2 linked regions of the Cricetulus griseus genome follow. The protein of the gene in region 1 interacts with the protein of each later gene in a biochemical or structural test. Links are inferred from orthologs where the notes say so. Each region holds a gene or a part of one and is shown in the gene's direction. Other genes may lie near its edges.

What was found.
Region 2: the proteins of Fzd7 (region 1) and Dvl1 form a complex in vitro, tested with the Homo sapiens proteins (2 studies listed by BioGRID and IntAct, with this or other methods). The link is inferred for Cricetulus griseus from reciprocal best matches to the Homo sapiens genes FZD7 and DVL1.

Annotation. Positions count from the first base shown.
Region 1 is NC_048595.1:413,755,240-413,759,624, forward strand, and holds the start of Fzd7 (frizzled-7), read left to right. Parts: upstream 1-1,570; 5' UTR 1,571-2,440; coding exon 2,441-4,159; 3' UTR 4,160-4,385. UniProt on the Homo sapiens protein: Receptor for Wnt proteins.
Region 2 is NC_048595.1:434,924-439,307, reverse strand, and holds the start of Dvl1 (segment polarity protein dishevelled homolog DVL-1), read left to right. Parts: upstream 1-1,489; 5' UTR 1,490-1,791; coding exon 1,792-1,961; intron 1,962-4,181; coding exon 4,182-4,295; intron 4,296-4,384. UniProt on the Homo sapiens protein: Participates in Wnt signaling by binding to the cytoplasmic C-terminus of frizzled family members and transducing the Wnt signal to down-stream effectors. Plays a role both in canonical and non-canonical Wnt signaling.

The DNA of each region.
Region 1 (4,385 bases):
TGGTGATTTCTATTGCAGGCCAGATGGGGGGTGTCAATTGTCTGACACTCTGCCTTGTTCGGGGGACTCTGCTCTTTAGACCCACTAACGAGAGCACAAAAGAACTCCAGTGGAAGGAAAGATCTCAGCAAACCTCTGAGATAAAGTAAATAAAAGAAAATTACAAGAAGCCCAAGTCTGCTAGAAAAGGGAATCCAATTATCTTAGGTTTCAGAATCAGCTTTTTCCTAGATGGGGAAACTGTATCCTGGAGGCAATGACTCCTGCCAACATTCAACATTCAAACTGATCAAAAATCTCTCATATACCGGCAACCAACTGAGACAGGTAGAAAGTAGGACTCAGCCAGGAATGACGTTTTTTTGAAAGTAAGACTTCAGGGACGACAGAGAGATTCAACTTGTCACTTCCCTGCCCGGGAATTCATAATATTCATGATATTCCTTGCTGGCCCCTCTGAGAGAGCAGAGGTCCCTTAGTAACTTCCGACCGGTCCGGGACAGGCAGACAAGGCGCACGAGCGCCCAGTGCCTGGAGCAGGGTTAAGATTTGACCGAGGACAAAAGAACGCTTGCCAATCAGAAAAACGCTATCCCAGAAGGAAAATAACCCCTCTTTGTGTCTCAAAAGCCCTTTAATTAGCAAATGCCCTGGTTTCTAACGCGCTTTAAAACTTTTCTATGTAGATTCCAAATGCAAAGATCAAATGGTTGCTTCTGCAACGAAAACGGGACCCCCGAAGGCCACACAGGGCAACCGAAGGCGCTCAGTAAATCGTACGGAGAGTCCCGGGTACTCGGTCTCAGGTTGCTTTCATAAGCATTCCCCCAGCACTGCCTTAGCGTCCTCCAACCCCACCCCCAACCTCTCGGGCTCCCTACGCTCCCCACAGTGCGCGCGGGCGGGGTGGCTGGCTCTTGAGTCCCGCGCACCCCCAGCTCTGGGCCCTCTCCTCCGAGGGTCTGCACTTCCTCCCGCCACAAGTCCCCACCTCGGCCGACTCGGGTTTCTCCTTCCAGGAGGCCCCCTTCTTTGTAACTGGGGGGAGGGAGAGGGGATTGTGGTTTCATGTGGTCGTTTGGGTATGGGGAGAAAAGAGCGATCTTCAGTCGCAGCCCCTTCCCGACCCACACTGATGCTAACCAAAAGCCTCCCGCCCAAGCCAGCCAGGCTAACGTGACTCTGGGTCACGTCTCTCCGCCCAAGCGCTGCGCTATTCTCAGCGTCTCGCCGAAGCCTTTGGCGAATGCGCCCTTCTGCTCAGGAATGTGTGTTTTAGGGTATCCGGAAGAGGAACCAATCTTTCAAACAAATTCCCTTTCTGGTGCGTTCTTCTCCCCTGAGCAAATTCTGGGTAAAAGTTTCTCCTAACTTTTCTCTCCCAGTCCCCCGCCCCTCCCCTCAGGAATCCGCCCAGAGCGCTTCAGGCACCGCCTTCCTCGTTCCCTCGGCCGCCCCTTCCGACTTCCACCCAATCGGAAGGCGTCTACAGAGAAAACAAAGCGCGCTATTGGGCCTCCGGAGGGCTCGGGGCCCGCCCCCGGAGTGGTTTGTGAATGGGGGGAGGGGAGGGGGCGGGGCGGCCCGAAACCCTGCGAGCCCGACGCTTCTTCTAGCCACCAGCGCGGCTCCCAGGCGTTACTCTGCGCTCCTTCCCTGGCGGGCGGCGGCGGACGCGGGGACTCGCCGGCCGGGACTGAGCCGGCAGGAGAGGCCGAGAGCAGACAGGCCGCGGGTGCAGGAGCCTCGGCGCTTGGGATTCCGCGCAACTGGGTTTCCAAAAAGAACTCGCCCAGCTCTTAGCTCCTGGGGACCGATCGGACTCAAATTGAGAACCAGACGTTTGACTGAAACTTGGGGCCGACCTTCCCCGGGCTGAAGGAGGCTCGAGGTTCGGAGGAGGAGGAGGAGGAGGCGGCGGCCCGCGGGGCCTCGAGGCGAGAAGGCGGAGCTGCACCGCCGAGGCGGCGGCCGGGGCGAGCAGGCGGGGACGCGGGGCTCTGGTCTGGCGGAGGCCCTACCCGGTGTGGGGACGTGGGCATCGCCGTGCGCCCGGGGCTCGAGAGACTTGGGCAAACTTTGAAAGGTAACCGGAGACGCTTGGAGCCCGTCGCCCAAGAGAAAGCCGCACCGTTACGTCTCGGCGGGGAGGGTAAGGCGACACCCCACCCCCGATCCCCCAGCCCAGGCCCAGGAGTTTGAGCCCCCGGCGGCCGCGTGAGTGCCACGCGGAGGCGGCTGCGGCGCCCCCTCGACTGGCGGCCTCGCCCCCGCCGTGCAGGCACCTAGCGCCCTCGGCTCCGCGCCGCCCACGGCCCGGCCCCGGCGCCGGGAGGACTCTCATGCGCCGGGCGCGGCGGCGCCTCCCTGCATCCAAGCCGCTCCCCAGCGCCTCGTCTTTTTCCCCCAGCTGAGAACGCCACTGCACTCGCGGCCCGCGATGCGGGGCCCCGGCACTGCGGCGTCGCACTCGCCCCTGGGCCTGTGCGCCCTGCTGCTGGCGCTTCTGGGCGCGCTGCCTGCGGGCACCCGGGCTCAGCCGTACCACGGCGAGAAGGGCATCTCGGTACCGGACCACGGCTTCTGCCAGCCCATCTCCATCCCGTTGTGCACGGATATCGCCTACAACCAGACCATCTTGCCCAACCTGCTGGGCCACACGAACCAAGAGGACGCCGGCCTCGAGGTGCACCAGTTCTACCCGCTGGTGAAGGTGCAGTGTTCTCCCGAGCTGCGCTTCTTTTTATGCTCCATGTACGCGCCCGTATGCACGGTGCTCGACCAAGCCATTCCTCCGTGCCGCTCCCTGTGCGAGCGCGCCCGCCAAGGCTGCGAGGCTCTCATGAACAAGTTCGGCTTCCAGTGGCCTGAGCGGCTGCGTTGCGAGAACTTCCCGGTGCACGGCGCCGGCGAGATCTGCGTGGGCCAGAACACGTCTGACGGCTCCGGGGGCGCGGGCGGCAGTCCCACCGCCTACCCTACTGCTCCCTACCTGCCAGACCCGCCTTTCACTGCCATGCCCCCCTCAGATGGCAGAGGCCGGTGGTCTTTCCCCTTCTCGTGCCCGCGCCAGCTCAAAGTGCCCCCCTACCTGGGCTACCGCTTCCTAGGTGAGCGCGATTGCGGTGCCCCGTGTGAGCCCGGCCGTGCTAACGGCCTTATGTACTTTAAAGAGGAGGAGAGGCGTTTCGCCCGCCTCTGGGTGGGTGTGTGGTCGGTGCTGTGCTGCGCCTCGACGCTCTTCACGGTGCTCACCTACCTAGTGGACATGCGGCGCTTCAGCTACCCAGAGCGACCCATCATCTTCCTCTCGGGCTGCTACTTCATGGTGGCCGTGGCGCACGTGGCGGGCTTCCTGCTGGAGGACCGTGCCGTGTGCGTGGAGCGCTTCTCGGACGATGGCTACCGCACGGTGGCGCAGGGCACCAAGAAGGAGGGCTGCACCATCCTCTTCATGGTGCTTTACTTCTTCGGCATGGCCAGCTCCATCTGGTGGGTCATTCTGTCCCTCACTTGGTTCCTGGCAGCTGGCATGAAGTGGGGCCACGAGGCCATCGAGGCTAACTCGCAGTACTTTCATCTGGCCGCATGGGCTGTGCCGGCAGTCAAGACAATCACCATCTTGGCCATGGGCCAGGTGGACGGGGACCTTCTCAGTGGAGTGTGCTACGTGGGCCTGTCTAGTGTGGATGCGCTGCGGGGCTTCGTGCTTGCGCCCCTCTTCGTCTACCTCTTCATCGGTACGTCCTTCCTCCTGGCCGGCTTTGTGTCTCTCTTCCGCATTCGCACCATCATGAAGCACGACGGCACCAAGACCGAGAAACTGGAGAAGCTCATGGTGCGCATCGGCGTCTTCAGCGTGCTCTACACGGTGCCGGCCACCATCGTGCTGGCCTGCTACTTTTACGAGCAGGCCTTCCGCGAGCACTGGGAGCGCACCTGGCTCCTACAGACCTGCAAGAGCTACGCTGTGCCCTGCCCTCCGGGTCACTTCCCGCCCATGAGCCCCGACTTCACAGTCTTCATGATCAAGTACCTGATGACCATGATCGTGGGCATCACTACCGGCTTCTGGATCTGGTCTGGCAAGACCCTGCAGTCATGGCGTCGTTTCTACCACAGACTCAGCCACAGCAGCAAGGGGGAGACTGCGGTATGAGCCCCGGTCCTTCTCCCAACCTTGCCACTTCTCCCTCCTTGTAGGAGGAGAGGCATGGTAGGGAAAGAACTGCTGGGTGGGGACTTGTTTCTGTAGGCTACCCCCTCCTCCACTGAGCTTTAACATGGAAGTGAGAAGTTAATTGGAGGTGAGAAGAGATTTGGGGTTAGAGGTGGTTTTGAGAGAGGGCCTGAGTGAAAAGTCAAAAGGCAGGGTGGTTGAAAAG
Region 2 (4,384 bases), about 410 Mb from region 1:
ATCTCATTACAGATGGTTGTGAGCCACCATGTGGTTGCTGGGAATTGAACTCGGGACCTCTGGAAGAGCAGCCACTGCTCTTAACCTCTGAGCCATCTCTCCAGCTCCTGATCAGTAGGATCTTATGTCTGACCCGAGGAACACTCAGAAAACAGCTTGTTTTCCTTCTCCCTTGAGCAGACTCTCTGAAGTCATCTTGCCTAGCTGCTTCGGGTTACTTCTGTAGAGATCCAAGGAAGAGGACCAGATGTTGGCAAAGGGAGTATGGGTTCCCAGGATAGCAGGCCCCTGTTGGGAGTAAGGAATTAAAGGGAAGAACTCTGCTTAGGCTGACTTCAGTGGCCTTTAATATAAATTCAGTGCTAACTTCTAGGTCCTTCAGAACAGTGGTGCGACGGTCTTTCCTTGTGCAGGCGTAGTGTCTGGCGTTGGTCCCAGATCACAATAGGCACCCTTGTCTCCATCACTGGCCAGTATCCTATGCATTACCCCACTCTTTTTTTTTTTCGAGACAGGGTTTATCTGTGGCTTTGGAGGCTGTCCTGTTACTAGCTCTTGTAGACCAGGCTGGTCTCGAACTCACAGAGATCCACCTGCCTCTGCCTCCCGAGTGCTGGGATTAAAGGCGTGCGCCACCAACACCCGGCTACCCCACTCTTATTAATGGCCAACGAAGGGCCTTAGGCCATCCTGGAGTAGGGGAGGCCTTCAGCTTAGCAAGGCAATAAGTGGGTCAAATCTCAGGTTGAGGTGCATCCCGGTCTTCCTTGGCCTGGGGAAGACACCTGGCTATTTTGATTACAACGTCCAAGGCAAAAATCCCTTTGGCTTCAGTCGCAGCCCGGGCCTCGCCTGGACATCTGTGCACACACCTGGACCTGCGTCACTAGTCACTCCTTTGAGTTTCTTCGGGGATCCGATGGGACAAGGCAGTGTGCGTAAGAACTGAGCTCAGGAATAGCGTGAGGCGCAGTAAGGCTCTCGCTGTCTTGGGTTAGACATAGGTATCTTCAAATTCTTGTGGAGCGCCTGAAGCCCCCAGAGTAGCGAGCGCCTTCTGATTGTCAGCACTGTGGGAACTGGGTGGGATAACTGGACAGGCCTAGCCCGACGACGCTCCTCAGCTCTCTGGCAGATAATATTGGCTCACAAGGCACAACCTTTTCTGGGTCTCTGCTATTCTGGGGCCGAGCGTGCCCATTTGCCCACAAACCGCAGACCCAGACGCCGCACGAATTCCTGCCTATCGGGAATCGGGGCGAGCGCATTGTACAGCTTTTGGCTCCTGGCTAGGGGAACTCAAAGCCCCGCCCCACGCTACCGCACGGAGTGACCTAACCAGTTAGGCTTCCCGAACCCGCCGGGTCCCATCCTGGTTGCCCCTCCCGTGCGCAAGCCGTAACCCCACCCCGCCCCGCCCCGCGCGTGCGTGGCCCCGCCCCACCCGCGCTGCGGGCGTCCAGTGACGTCACCGGCTCCGCTGCGCCCTCTGGTGGCCGCGGGCCCAACCCCGCCAGGCTGTCTTGGAACAGCCCGAGGGGGCGGTGGGCGGCAGTAACCCTCTCAGCTGCTTCCCTCGAGCCCGCTCTGGGGCTGGCAGTGGATGGGCGGCCGCGGGCCGCGGGGCAACAGGCGGGGGACGGGTGCGATCCGGGACCGGGCGGGCGGCGCGCAAAGGGGCCGCGGGGCGGCCGGGCGGGGCGCGGGCCGGCGGTTTGGGAGGGCGCCCCGCGTCCGAGAGGTGAGCCGGGCCCTGACGCTGCGCGGGTTCCGCGTCGCTGCTGCCGCGCCATGGCGGAGACCAAGATCATCTACCACATGGACGAGGAGGAGACGCCGTACCTGGTCAAGCTGCCGGTAGCTCCCGAACGCGTCACGCTGGCGGACTTCAAGAACGTGCTCAGCAACCGGCCGGTGCACGCCTACAAATTCTTCTTCAAGTCTATGGACCAGGACTTCGGGTCAGTGGGCCGAGCGGCCTGGGCGGGAGTGCTGGCCCTTTCCCGCGCGTGTGCGGTGCCCGCCGGGCCCCCGTGCGGGCACGAGCTGGCACCTGTCTGTGCGGGGCAGGGCTTTCGGGTCTGGGGACGTCAGAGCGCCCCCGGCGCCGGCAACCCTGCCGCGCCTCTACAGCAGGTGTAAGTAGAGTCTCTGCGCCTTGGTGACCCATGGTGTTTGTACTCACCTGTCTGGCAAGCTGGGAATCCGAGTTCTTGACTACCTACCCTCTTAGGTAGGCCAGAGAGAGAGTTCTGTTTGATGGACAGGTTAGGGCCCAGGCTTTCTGTCCGCCATCCAGTGGTGCCCCTGTGCACAGCTGGTCCAGGCGGGGTGCCAAAGGCCACCCTCAAAGCCACCTCCTCTTGTCTCTGGTCAAGCACAGGTCCTGTTGCATTCCTCTTCTATGGGTGGAAACCATAGAGTGGGTGGCTGCCCTGGAGGGTGTGCATTTTATGGGGGCTGGGGTTAAGGGAAAGGGTTAGGTGTTTGTGACTCCCAGCACTCAGGGATCCTTCAGTTGAAATGGGGTAGTGTGGAATGGGCTGGTCATAGGCACCCATCTGTTTTCTGGAGCTCAGAAAAAGTTTCTGAAGCCTGCAGATTCCTCGTGGTCCCTCTAGAGTCCCAGTGGCAAGGCAGAGGTCAAGGGGCACTGGAGACTAAGAACCTTCACTCAGCCTGCCCCCTTGGTTGCTGGCTCCTGTGCTTCTGTCCTTACTGAACCACACAGCATTTGCATTCCTGGGAGGTGCTCAGGTTATCTTCTGACTTGAGCCAGCTTCTAAGGTAGTGTGTTTCCTAACTGCACTGCTGTACTAGCTGTCTCAGGAGAAGGGACTTCCTACTTGAGCTAAGCTGGGCCTCTGAGACAATGAGCCAGGGACTGGCAGTGCAACAGAGGCCTGACTGGGCATAGCCACAGAAACCTGAGTCCATGGCTTGGCAGTGCTTGAGTCGGGGGCATGCTCAGGCCCTGTGGGTGGAGCAGGTGTGCTTGGTGCCCTTGTGTGGCTGCATCTCAGGACTTTGACATTGAAACTATTTACTGGATTTCATGGTTGCAGGGTCCCTGGGCAGCCCATGGGTCAGGTCAAGTTTGAATCTCTCCCTGACCCTGGGCATCTAGCCAGGGCTCAACCTGGTTTGTACAACTAAACTCTCTCGCTTACCCATTCCCTGTGCCCCAACCACTAGGAAAAAGCAAAGGGGAGCATGTCCCCACAAATTGAAGGCTGGTGCTCCCCATCTGCCTGGAGGCTGGAGATTGGTCTCCCCGACTGTCCTGGCTGGGCCACCTCTGTTGTCTCTGCTCTCAGGAACAGGGCATCTCTGGATTAAATTTATTATTTTAGATAAAAATCACCAGTCAAATTTGTTCTCACAAACTTGGGTGTGGTGATGAGGAGCAGACCCAGACCTGGGTTGCTTTTTGCTAAACATTCTGGGTGTCTCCTGAGGGTACTTGTCCCTCTGCTTTCATATGCACGTTGAGTAGGGTGTGCTAAGAGTAGTAACCCAGCATCAGCTTACATGGGCCCCCACTAAGCTGTGTTTGTGTTCAGGAGGACCTGCAGGTGCCCTGACTAAGGAGGTGGAGTGGCAGATCTGGCTATTGAAGCAGGAGTAGTACCTTTGGGTGGGTTGGGAATGGCTGGGGCATGAGGTATGGAGTTAGCAGAGAGCACAGAGGTGCAAGTTGGGTGTCCTGGGTGTGTGGATGAACCAGGAGACAGAGCAGCTAAGAGGTAGAGTCTGGGCTAGGATGACACAGAAAGGCACAAGCAGCATGTCAGTAGGCCTCACCCCAACTGTGACCTGGTACTCAGATGGCATAGTGGCCTTGGGAGCCTGGAAGAGCAGCCCTTCCTCCCCACATAACTGCATCCCTCACTTCCTTGCCTGTGTTCTGTCTACAGAGCTCCAAGGATACCAGGCTAAGTAGCTTAATATTGGGAGAGGGAAGCTCAGCAGGGTTGGCTAAGCTGGGCAAGTGGCCTCAGAATAGTCTGTGAGGAGTATCCTAGTGAGTCTGGGTTTCCTGCCCCACTCCAGACCAAAGCTGAGACCAAAGCTGGCTACTTTATAAGGAGCAGAGTCTGCCCTGGGCTGGGCTCAATTCCCAACATGTATCTCTCACCAATAAGGTCAAGGTCTGTTGTTCCATGCCCACTTATGTGCAGCTTGTGGCTCTTCTCACCCTGGCTGGACCTCCAATGTTTAGTAGCAGGACTTCTGTGCTTCTGGTGGGCCCTGTGCAAGTGTCTGATGTTTCATCTGGTGACTATGGCAGCAGAGTGAGTACATTTGGCACTTGGTCCCTGCTACTAGTAGTGTATTGCTGCTGCCAGCTTGCCTGATATGATGCTGAGCTCATCTGCTTGAT